Linked DNA regions of Callithrix jacchus. The protein of the gene in region 2 purifies or fractionates together with the protein of the main gene of each other region. This does not show direct contact. Links are inferred from orthologs where the notes say so. Each region holds a gene or a part of one and is shown on either strand. Other genes may lie near its edges.

What was found.
Region 1: the proteins of MED19 (region 2) and MED12L purify together in Homo sapiens (affinity purification with mass spectrometry; 3 studies listed by BioGRID and IntAct, counting the BioPlex papers as one, with this or other methods). This does not show direct contact. The link is inferred for Callithrix jacchus from reciprocal best matches to the Homo sapiens genes MED19 and MED12L.

Annotation. Positions count from the first base shown.
Region 1 is NC_133518.1:34,088,073-34,093,357, forward strand, and holds part of MED12L (mediator of RNA polymerase II transcription subunit 12-like protein), read right to left. Parts: intron 4,300-5,285; coding exon 4,130-4,299; intron 1,791-4,129; coding exon 1,680-1,790; intron 646-1,679; coding exon 376-645; intron 1-375. UniProt on the Homo sapiens protein: May be a component of the Mediator complex, a coactivator involved in the regulated transcription of nearly all RNA polymerase II-dependent genes.
Region 2 is NC_133511.1:115,288,933-115,294,703, forward strand, and holds the start of MED19 (mediator of RNA polymerase II transcription subunit 19), read right to left. Parts: upstream 3,647-5,771; 5' UTR 3,614-3,646; coding exon 3,397-3,613; intron 1-3,396. Other genes in the region: TMX2 (thioredoxin-related transmembrane protein 2), read left to right, coding at 4,049-4,237. UniProt on the Homo sapiens protein: Component of the Mediator complex, a coactivator involved in the regulated transcription of nearly all RNA polymerase II-dependent genes.

The DNA of each region.
Region 1 (5,285 bases), on a different chromosome or scaffold from region 2:
CACAGACCGGCAACCAACCCAAGATGTGAACCGGGAAAGATTAAAAATGCTGGCTGGAGAAGCTGTCTTTCCAGAAGAACAATAATATAACTAACTTATTCTGTGGGCTCCCCAAAGGATTTTTAATTGAACTGCTTAATGAACCTAATAAAGGACAACGGCAATAACTTTCTCCTAGATGAATGCAACAAATTTTCTCTCAGCTTGATCCCTCACAGGGAAATAAAAACATAAAATTTCAATCGATAAATTATTTGGGTGAGGAAAAAACAAAACAGTTGTAGAAGTTCAACTAGAGAATTGAAAATGCCATTCCCAACTCAATCACTTCCCACGCTGAATTTTAACATAAAGTAACAAGGGCCAAGGACTTACCTGCAACATACAACTAAGTCCATAAACCAGGGGACCATGCTGTGCACAGGAAAGAAAATCTGAGAAGGCCAGCTGCACAGGGCTCATGCCAGGGCCGGGGGGGCCAGGGCTGGGGGCCCCGATACTCGAGTTGTTTGGTCCTATCATCATGTGGGGTGAGTGGGCAGCAAGGAGGTTGGGGCTATCACTCAGCAGCAAGGAAAGACGCCGGGCACAAAAGTAGGCAAGACGACGAGACAGGTAGGCCGACTGAACAAACTCATCTGAATACTGAGAAGTAGAAGGACACCAGACTTCAGTCATGTCTTATGCGTCTTGGTTAAATAACTATTTTAACATAGACTTTCTTTCATTTAAAAAAGAAAAAAAACTTCAAAGATATAAAGCAAGTGCTGTCCAATAGAAATAGAATGTGAGCCACAGGTGTAATTTTAAAGTTTCTAGGGGCCATGAAAAAAATAAGAAACAGGCAAAAAGTAGAAGATTAATGTATTTTATTTAGCCCAATATATCCAAAATGTTATCATTTCAACCAGTAATCAACATAAAAAGTACAACTGTTATACACTTTCTCATACTAAGTCTGAAATCTGGTGTGCATTTTACACTTAGAGCACACATCAATTTGGACTGGTCACATTTCAAGAGCTCAATAGCCACATCTGGCTAGTGGCCATTGTAATGGACAGTGCAGGTACAGACTATTTCAAGGGAGAGACACAGGACCCTGTGGTGTAGTCTGTGGGGAGGGTATGAGAGTGAAAGGGAGAACTGCTGCTCATTGGATATTCTTTCACTTTGCTTAAATTATAAAATATATGTATCACTTAAGAAATTTTTTAAAATAAATCTCACCCAGATACTTCAAATATAAGCACGTCTTAGACCAATCATCAAAACAAAAAGTTTCCTCCCCAAGAATCTCAAAGACTTGTCAAAAGAATGTAGAACATCCTTTATCTTCGAAAGGGATAATTTGTTTTGTTTTCACAGAAATCTGTGTTATTACAGGGAGACAGTATTTTAAAAGTTGGTTGCTTTGCTCAGTGATGGGAGAAATCAATGTGAGTAAAATTACTTAAAACTTGGGACACATGGATAAAAACTACAAACATGGTTAATACAAATGATGGATAAAACTTATTAGAAGCCTTTATCACCTCATATTTTGTAGCATCAAAGACATTTTTTCCTTCCATTTCAAAGGATTTTTTTTCCTTTTCCTCCTCCACTTACCTAATCATTCTTATCAGACTCATTTCTTGCTCATAAAACCAACTGCCTCAAGGGGACATGTACTATACCTGCAGCATTAGTGGTAACAAAAGTTTAAGAAGATCATCATCCATTGGTCTGATTTTTTCTAAAACATCCAGGATCCATGTCAAATATTCATGTTTTTCTAGCATTCCTTCCTTAAATGAACAAAGAAAAATTACATTAATAACGTTAAAGACGAAAAAGCACTGTCATTCTTATGCTTAAGTCAAATTTTACTACTTTTTTGCTGCTGTTAAACAGTCTCAATGAACACAGTCCAAATTCTAAACAAATCAAAGAACTAATCTGTTGTGTATAGTTTTTTTGTTTTTTAGTAATCTGCTCAAAATTGAGAAAAATTAATTCCAACAACAGCAACAACAACAACAAACTTCAGAGGCTTTCACACCCACAGGGTGTGTCAAGCTCCTGGCTAGATTTTGGGGGAGTATGAACTCATGCTCATAGAAGGAAACTTGGATTTCAGTGACAATTAAAAAGAAGATAAGCACTGATCACACCATCATTTTAACAAAAGTTTGAAAACCCCATCAGATCCAATGCCCCACAATAGCTTCTTTCACTATCCTAAAATTAGTGTCAGATACTATCACCTATCTATAAAATATAACCTTAAACATCAATATGATGACCTAATACCAGAAATGAAAGGAGCTATGATAAAATCACGTATAAGCCATTTCAACACAACTACAATAAAAAAACAATAATACCCCCAAGAATTTCTAAAATGTGCCACAGGGGTGACACAGCTCCTAGTGAGACCACTAATCTTGATATAAGCACTACAAGCATCTTTTGTCTATTGCCTTCAAATACATATACACATATATATAGACATACACAGTATGACATTCTATGCATACATAGATTTAATATCCTATTACAGTTTTATATTATAATTCACAGAATGAAAGAATCTTTGAGACAGAAATCTGGGAAAGACACATACTTTTATGGTCATTCTGGTAACAAACTTAGTAGGTCATACGAAATTTGACTTTGTTCCTAGCAACTGTTAGGTATCCAGTGTCCCACTGTAATGGTTATTAAGGAGTCATGGGAAAATATTACACTGATAAATTATAGCTCAGAGTATTTCAAGGTCTACAATGAGGCCACACTGACATGACATCAAGGTATACTTCCTGCTAATTTCTAATTTTTTTCAATGTTTAGAGTCAAGAACAGTTAAAAAGTCACAAAAAAGCACAATTTAAAAGTTTAGTAGCAGGAAAGTGAGTTCTAAAATAATAAATATAGGTACAGTTTTTATTTGTCAATTTAAAGTTAATTTAAATGTTTTTTTAAAAAGAGACGAAACAGAATTTTCCATTAAGGTATAAGAGATGGTAACTTCAAGATTCAAAAAAAAAAAAAGGATCTTCATAAACAATAGTCCATCCTGTAGACGCTTTGTTTATATACCCATGCCCTTGTTTCTGCATATATTTGTCTTCATGTGTATGAATTAGGGTCTGTTTCACATTTCAGAATATGGCAAATTGAAATATAACGAACTTTTAAAACTTAACATTACTATTTCAATTATATTCATTCCTTCAGGACCTAACTGCTTTCAATACTCCTAATATGTAATTCTTCCAAAAATATTAAGCATGCTGAGAGACACTTTTTCCAAGATGCAGACTAAATTCTGAGCTCAGTAAAAGTCATAAAAGCTCAGGGCAGTCACTGAAGTAGTCCCTCTTCTAAATGGAACTAGGATTTGTTTTTACTGACTTAAAAACTAACAACATTACATCTCAAAAAGACCTTATTTTATCCTATGTTGAGCTCTTAGAAGAGCCTGAAAATTTTAATAAAGGTTCCAAAGGGAAAACTTAGAAACCACATGTCCCCTCCCTCTTTAATCAAGACAACAGTTACTAAAATCTCTGCTAATAAGAAGACATGAACTGAATTCATCTCTCCTATTTTACAGCCCAAGCTCCCTCTTGAGGTCAACATTATGTACATCCGTTTGTCTGGGTGAGAGTCAGTCATTCCTCCACGCCCCTACCAGCCCCATCCCCCTGACCCGCCATGCGACCCATTGTGCATTTTCAGCTGCAGTTGAATTAAGACAACCTTTCTCTGCAACAACTTGGGTCTAAAGGAGGTCTGCTACCACAGAAGGTATCAGCACAAAGATGTTTTTGAATAAATATATTCAATCTTGCAAAATAAAAGGTTTAGAAGGATTATATTTAATAGTCCAATTACAAAGTAATTAATAGCACTCAAAGAGTTGACATGATTGAAAGCTGGAGATCAATATGTATAATGAGCTGTCATCCCAGGGCAGATGTGTTACCCTGAATACAATTCAACGTGAGAAATGTCAGACTGCTTTCTTTGAACATATTGGTTGGTATAAAAATACGATTTAACCCCAGAATACCAAACTATAAGAAACTTGCTCTCTTCTTAAAAGCATGGCACACAATTTTGCATGTCTTCGAAAGGTTACCTGGAACATGTGAAATGCTAGCTTTTCGTTGTATTCCCACTGCTTCATGGCTTGCTCCACCTCTGGTGGCACAGGGACAGGGCCATCACCAGAGCTGGAGGCCATGTGGTAAAAGTCAGAAATCTTAGCCAACTGCTCTCGAAGATATCTGGTAGATATCTGTGTCCACTCTGCATTTAAAAAAGAAGAAAAACATGAGTTTCTAGACACATGGGTTTAAGAATTACACTTTTTCTTCCCCTTTCTGATTATCTCGAGGGTGTATTGACAAAACAAACATCTGCTCCCTAAAAATGGTTTGTGCCTGTACAAGCAGTGCTCAGAAAAGGATGCCCACCCCAACGTCCCTCCAGAATGCATGCTAGTGTGAGGTGGCCTGCCGTGTGGCAGCTCTACCCTTGCCCTTCCATGACTCTTAACCTAGGAGAATAGATGTTTACTCTCAAATGAGGTCCACCTGGTGATCCTCCTGGTTAAACATCAGTTAGTATACCAAAAAAAAAAAGGAGGGGGGCAAAGCAGGACAGAATGGTGAAGGGGAAACCTGAAGGAATCTCAAATTCTACAGCAAAAGAATTCAAAAGCCCCCAAAAGCAGCTCTCTTAGGGTCCATTTTTCAGGCTCCATGTTGGATTTCAAATATGCCTAATTAAGATTTGTTTTGTTTTTGTCAGTTTTTAAGAGGACAGACATTCTTTCACTGCAGCTGGACCATGAAAGCATTCCAACCCGCATTGCCCCAGGATGTGTCAGGAACACCGGCAAGGCTTCCCTCCTGGCAATCATCTGGACCTTCAATTATTCTACCCTCCTCAGCCAACACCAAGTGCCCCAAAACTCGGGGAGGGTGAAGTCAGAAATGGTGGGGAGCAACAAACAGTAGGATACTGGAAAGGAAACAACCAAAGTAGCATCAGAAAAAGCAAAAATCACTAAAATTATTCAAAAATGTCTGCCATAGGGGCACAAATTATATCAGTGTGTTGCCTCTGGCAACCAAGAGGGATGTGATGCCAACTTTAGCCCATTCTGTGGATAAAAATGTAATAATTGCATGCTCACAGCCAAATTTCCCCAAGGATTAGCAAACAGCGTTTCAGAAGAAATCACCCTACTGAAACATTACCACACAATGCTGTTTTCCAATTATTTGGCA
Region 2 (5,771 bases):
AAAATTCCAAATCTTGCCCACATGACTCATGGCTTCTCTATTTCAATCTATGGCACCACATGTTCCAGATATTTTTGGAAAGCAGTACTCCTCAGGTCACAAATCTTAATGGTTTCCTTTCGTCCTCAGGAGAAAGCTCAAATTCCTCTGACTGGCACTCAAGGCTAATTACATCTACTCCAACTTAGCTTTGGGGGGCCTCATCAATCACTATTCCTCTATGCAAAATTTCTGATCCATCCAAATGGATCTCCCTATCTCTTCAAAATAACACCCTTCACATTATTTCCTTTTAGGAAAATTCTTCCTAATTTTTCTTCACCAACATGAATTATTCAAGGTCTAGGTCAAGTGACATCTTATTCTTGCTGTCATTTTGGATAACAATACACTGAAAAACATGAGGTAGTTCTTAATATGGATGGCTAAGATATTGTTAATTGCTGTTGTGAGGCATGAGCACAGAATAATGAGATGGAGTTGATAAGAAATATAGTCACTATCCTTAAACCACAAATCTTACATTCCGAACTAAACTTGAAAAGCAATGACCAGCATTACTAATCTCTTCCTCCTTCTCACCCTTCTCATACACCCAGCATTTGCCCAGAACAGATATTCAGTATCTGTTGACTGACTATAGCTATTATATAAATAGTTACAATCAGAATAGGGAAGGCAAAAGAAAGATTAAAAGAAACTGCTGGTGGCCATCAACCACTGACTAATCAAAGGGATGGCAACTTCTCTATTTGTTTTTCCAATTATAAAATATAGATAATAATGCCTACTTCAAAGGGGTATTCTAACTATTAAATACTACTACATATAAGGGTGTTGTGAACTTCAGAGTACCATACCAATATTTGTTATTATTTCCCTCAAGTCATGATGTGGAAATAAGACTTGAGATAATGAAAGGCATCTTGGAGACCTAACATGTCCAGAAAACTTGATTTCCACCTCTTCAAACTTGTTCCTTCCTCATCTTCCAAGTCTCCATACCCATACACCTAATTATTCAAGGTGAAAACTTAAGAAGACATCATTCCTTCACTTTACTCTCTCCTTCACTTCTTCCCCTATTATCCAGGCTGGAGTGCAGTGGTGCAGTCACGGCTCACTGCAGCCTCAACTTCCTGGGCTCAAGTAATTCTATCACCTCAGCCGCCTAAGTAGCTGAGACTACAGGCACACATCACTATGCCTAGCTAAATTATATTTATTTTTTGTAGAGATGTGTCTCATTATGTTTCCCAGGCTTGTCTCAAACTTTCGGGCTCAAGATATTCTCCCACCTCGGCCTCCCAAAGTGTTGGGATTACTGGCATGAGCCACAGCGCCTGGCCCTATATTCAACTTTTCATCCCCATCAGCTCTACCTCTAACATCCTGTATCCATTTACTTCTCTATGCCCTGCTATGCCCTGGTTTGAACCATCATCTTTCCTGGACTATGAGTGGTAACCTCTGACTTCCCCACTTTCTATTTGTCATGTGGCTGCTTGAATGATTATAAATAAGTAAATCTGACCAAGTTCCTGTGTTAAAATGGCTTTCCTTGGCTGGGCACAGTGGCTCACGTCTATAATCCCAGCACTTTGGAAGGGCAAGGCAGGAGGACTGCTGTTGGCCAGGAGTTCAAGACCAGCTTGGACAATACAGTAAGACCCTATCTCTACAGAAAAATTTTAAGTTAGCCAACCATGGTGGCACATGCCTGTCGCCCTAGCTACCTGGGAGGCTGAGCTGGGAGGACAGCATGAGCCCAGGAATTCGAGGTCACAGTGAGCTATGATTATGCCACTGCAGTCCAGCCTGGGTGACACAGTGAGACTTTGCCTCTATAAATTTTTTTTTAAACGGCTTCCTTTGGTATTTGCCATCTAAATGCCTTTATTACTTTATAAAGGCCTCTGCCTAACTCTCCCACCTTTCCTTTTGTCTCTCTCTCCTAAGACTCTTTCCTTTCGTTCACTTCACTGGAGTCCAACTGATTTTCTGTCCCTCAGATATTCTAAGCGTTTTCTCACATCAGGGTTTCTGACCTCATTACTTGTATCTAGTATTATCTCTCCCTCCTATCCATCCATAGCTGGCCCTTTGTCTATGCTTATATTTTAGTTCAAATGTTAGCTACATGGAAAGAGCATCTCTGGTCACTCTAACTAAAGTAGTTCTGCCCTCAACATTTTTTTCTTTTGAGAGATGGTCTCATCTGTTGCCCAGGCTGGAGTGCAGTGGCACTATCTTGGTTCACTGCAGCCGAAACCTCCTGAGTTCAAGAGAATCTCCTCCCTTAGCCTCCCCAATAGCTGGGGCTATAGGCACGGACTGCCGTGCCTGGCTATTCTTGTATGTTTTGTAGAGACTGGGTCTCGACATGTTGCCCAGGCTGGTCTCAAACTCCTGGACTCAAAGGATCCTCCTGCCTGGGCCTCCCAAAGCGCTGGGATTACAGGTGTGAGCAACACGCCTGGCCCCTTTCAATTCTTTATCATGTTTTCTCCTCCTAGAATTAATCACTCTCTGATATAATCTTGTTTACAATGCCTCCTCCACTGACATGTACATTCCAAAAAAAAGCAAGCATCTTGTCAGTCTTGTTCATAACTGTATCTCAAGCATTTACAAAAGTGCTTGGTACATAGGAACTCAACAAAATTAATTTTTGAATGAAAAGAGTTTGGTTTGATTCTTATCCCTTCTTAGAACAGACCAGGAAACGCCGGAACCTTAGAAGGAATAATGGCAACTTGCCCCAAACCAACAGCAAAATTAAAACTTTGGGTCCCCAAAGATATTAAATCAGGCCTCTCAAGTTCCTAACTGAAACCCTGGATCTCCTGGATCTTTTGTTTTTGAGAGGGAGTCTCGTTCTGTCGCCCAGGCTGGAGTGCAGTGGAGCAATCTAGGCTCACCGCAACCTCCGCCTCCCGGGTTCAAAGCGATTCTCCCGCCTGAGCCACCTGAGTAGCTGGGATTAAACGTATACGCAACCATGCCCGGCTAATTTTTGTATTTTTAGTAGAGAGGGGGGGTTTCATCATGTTGACTAGGCTGGTCTCGAACTCCTGACCTTAGGTGATTCGCCCGCCTCCGCCTCCCAGAGTGCTGGGATTACAGGCATCAGTCACCGCGCCCAGTCCTGGATCATTTTTTTAGGGAGACATAAACCAGTGTCACGGAGATTCACCGTCCCTCTCCCCCGCCGTTTGGTTGAATTCAAGTCATCCCTCTGCTTGTGAATCCTAACAGCGCTTCCGACTTATGGCTCCACAGTCCGAGTCTGTCTTTCTTAGGTTACCTGGCACCTCCGCTAGCCGGCTGAGAACCACGCCCATCACCTCCTCTCTAAGATTTGATTGGCTGGCTTTGGCAAGGCCGTGTACTCACCTGGCAGTTCCCTCATTAGGTAGAAAGGGCCACAGCCAGCTCCTGACTTGTCCGCGCCGGGAGGGGCCGTGGCTGCGGTGGGAGGCGGGGCCGTGCCGGGACCCCCGCCTGGAGGAGGTGGTGGCGGGGGTGGAGGCTTTCCTGGTCCGAAGCCGAGTGCGGTTGGGGGCGGTGGTGGGTCAGCCTGAGCCCCGAACAGTGCCGTGAAATTCTCCATCGTCCCCTCCGCCTCGGCGCTGCCTAGATGTCTGGCGTTGGTAATTTTCATTGGACAATGCTTTTAAGGGTACCGCCCTCTTTCTCAAGGAGCCTCTTGTCATTGGATGCCTCAGGCACCGCTTACCTTGTTTCAGCAACTACTTCCGTCGCCTTATGAGAACGTTTAGAAAGTGCTATTTAACCTTATTAGATTCTTCTGCTAGCTTCGTTTGCTACAGTCCAATAAAATGACTTAGGTGGATAAAGCGACAACTAGACTAACCAATAATATGTTAAATTCTTATTTGGGTTCTGACCTACCACAGCGTCCAGAGAGCTACATCCGGATTTAGAGGCGGTACATTTGAGATACGGCCCAATAGCAGTCTCTATGGTGAGGGAGGCGGGGCCAGACCTACAACGCCAATGAGCCCCGGCCCTAACGGCCAAAAAGATGGCGATCCTGGCACCTCTAATTGCTCTGGTGTATTCTGTGCCGCGACTTTCACGATGGCTGGCCCAACCTTACTACCTTCTGTCGGCCCTGCTCTCTGCTGCCTTCCTACTCGTGAGGAAACTGCCGCCGCTCTGCAACGGTCTGCCTACCCAACGCGAAGACGGCAACCCGTGTGACTTTGACTGGGTGAGCGTCCCGCGTCTTAGTACCCCGCGACCTTGACTGGGAACCCTGGGCTTTCCCTTTCTGAGGACACTTGAGGTTCCGAGCCTGTAGCGGACTTACAAACTATTAAGTACAGGGTCCGGACCATCATCAAGTCAGCGAGCGGCCCAACAGCTTCTGACTGCGGAGTCCAGGTTTCTTTCCATTTCACCATTCACACTAATCAACAGCCCTATGAAAACTCTACATAGACGTGTACAGCGTTTTACAGTGCCGCTCATTAAGTAAAGCCTCCTGAGGAGCCAGTAGGTAGACAAGGGAAGTAGTAATGTTCTTGTTTCATTGGTGAAGAAATGGATCTCGGTATATTTAGGCGACTTGCCCCAGATCACACAACTAATGAGTGCCTGGGACTTGAAACTGCTCTTCTGGCCACACTAGCTGCACACACTGTCAGCCGTTTCTTAATTCAGTAAACATTTCTAGAGTGTACACTCTAGGCACTCTGCTGGATCGTGAGGATGTGAAAGTGGATAAAATTTTGGGGCGATTGTAAAGGAATTGTAAAAAAAAAATACGTCGTAAAAAATCCGTCCCAAGCTCCTTGCTGTGTTTCCTCGGTAGGGGTGGAGGGACCGCTCAGAACATTAACTTAAAGCGCTTCGCCCTCTGCCATATAGCACGTGGGGGGCAAGGAGAAACTTCCCCTTGCTCTCTGAGGGTTTGTTCAAAAAATCAACCGACAAAGGGCACTTCAAAAGATATTTTATTTTAACGTGCATAGCATGAGGGAATTGTAGGAGAATGACCCAATGGGGTACAGATGGTTATATGCCCTTCTTCTTAGGAATATGGGAGATGGGGAAATGTGGGTGATTTTAAGGTGGATGGTAAATGATTTTTAGGGTGATTCAGTGGGCTGGGACAACTACTGTTGAGCCTGCAGAGCAGACGATGGTTTCTAACAAAAGTCTGTCCAGGTGTGTTAACAGGTTTCAATCTTTCTTCCGGTACTATGAGTTAAATTAATGAAAACGTAGAAGTAATTGTTGTCTTCTTTGACAGGTCTGGACTTTAGGCAGATAAGGTAGTTATCAGAGTAAAGCTGTTTCCAGTATCTGCTGGTATCCAAGGGCCTTTAATTTAAAATAATTAACATATAGGATGCTATATTTTAAGGTGTGAGTCCCTGGTCTTCTTTATTTGAAACTTCCTTAGAAGTTTCACTATAAGCTGAGTTGGTGTCTTTGGAGAGAGAAATCAGGCTAGTAATTGATTGGCAAGAGATCCCATTAAACCAGTCTCTCATTTGGCCAGTCCAGTTAAATTGTTGTGTCTCATTTCAGGAGATGGCATTGTAGATGAGTTCTCAAAGCTAGGCCTCTGTATATGATGTAGGCAAACAGATCTTTAATGAGACATTTTTATGGAACAAGATAAATGAAGCTTAATGTCTGGTGTACTCTATAAACTAGTTTCTTTAGAGGCTGGAGGGCAGTCAGTTGGCAAGATTAATAACAATCTATTTTCCTGGATTGTAGGTTGTGTGTAAAGT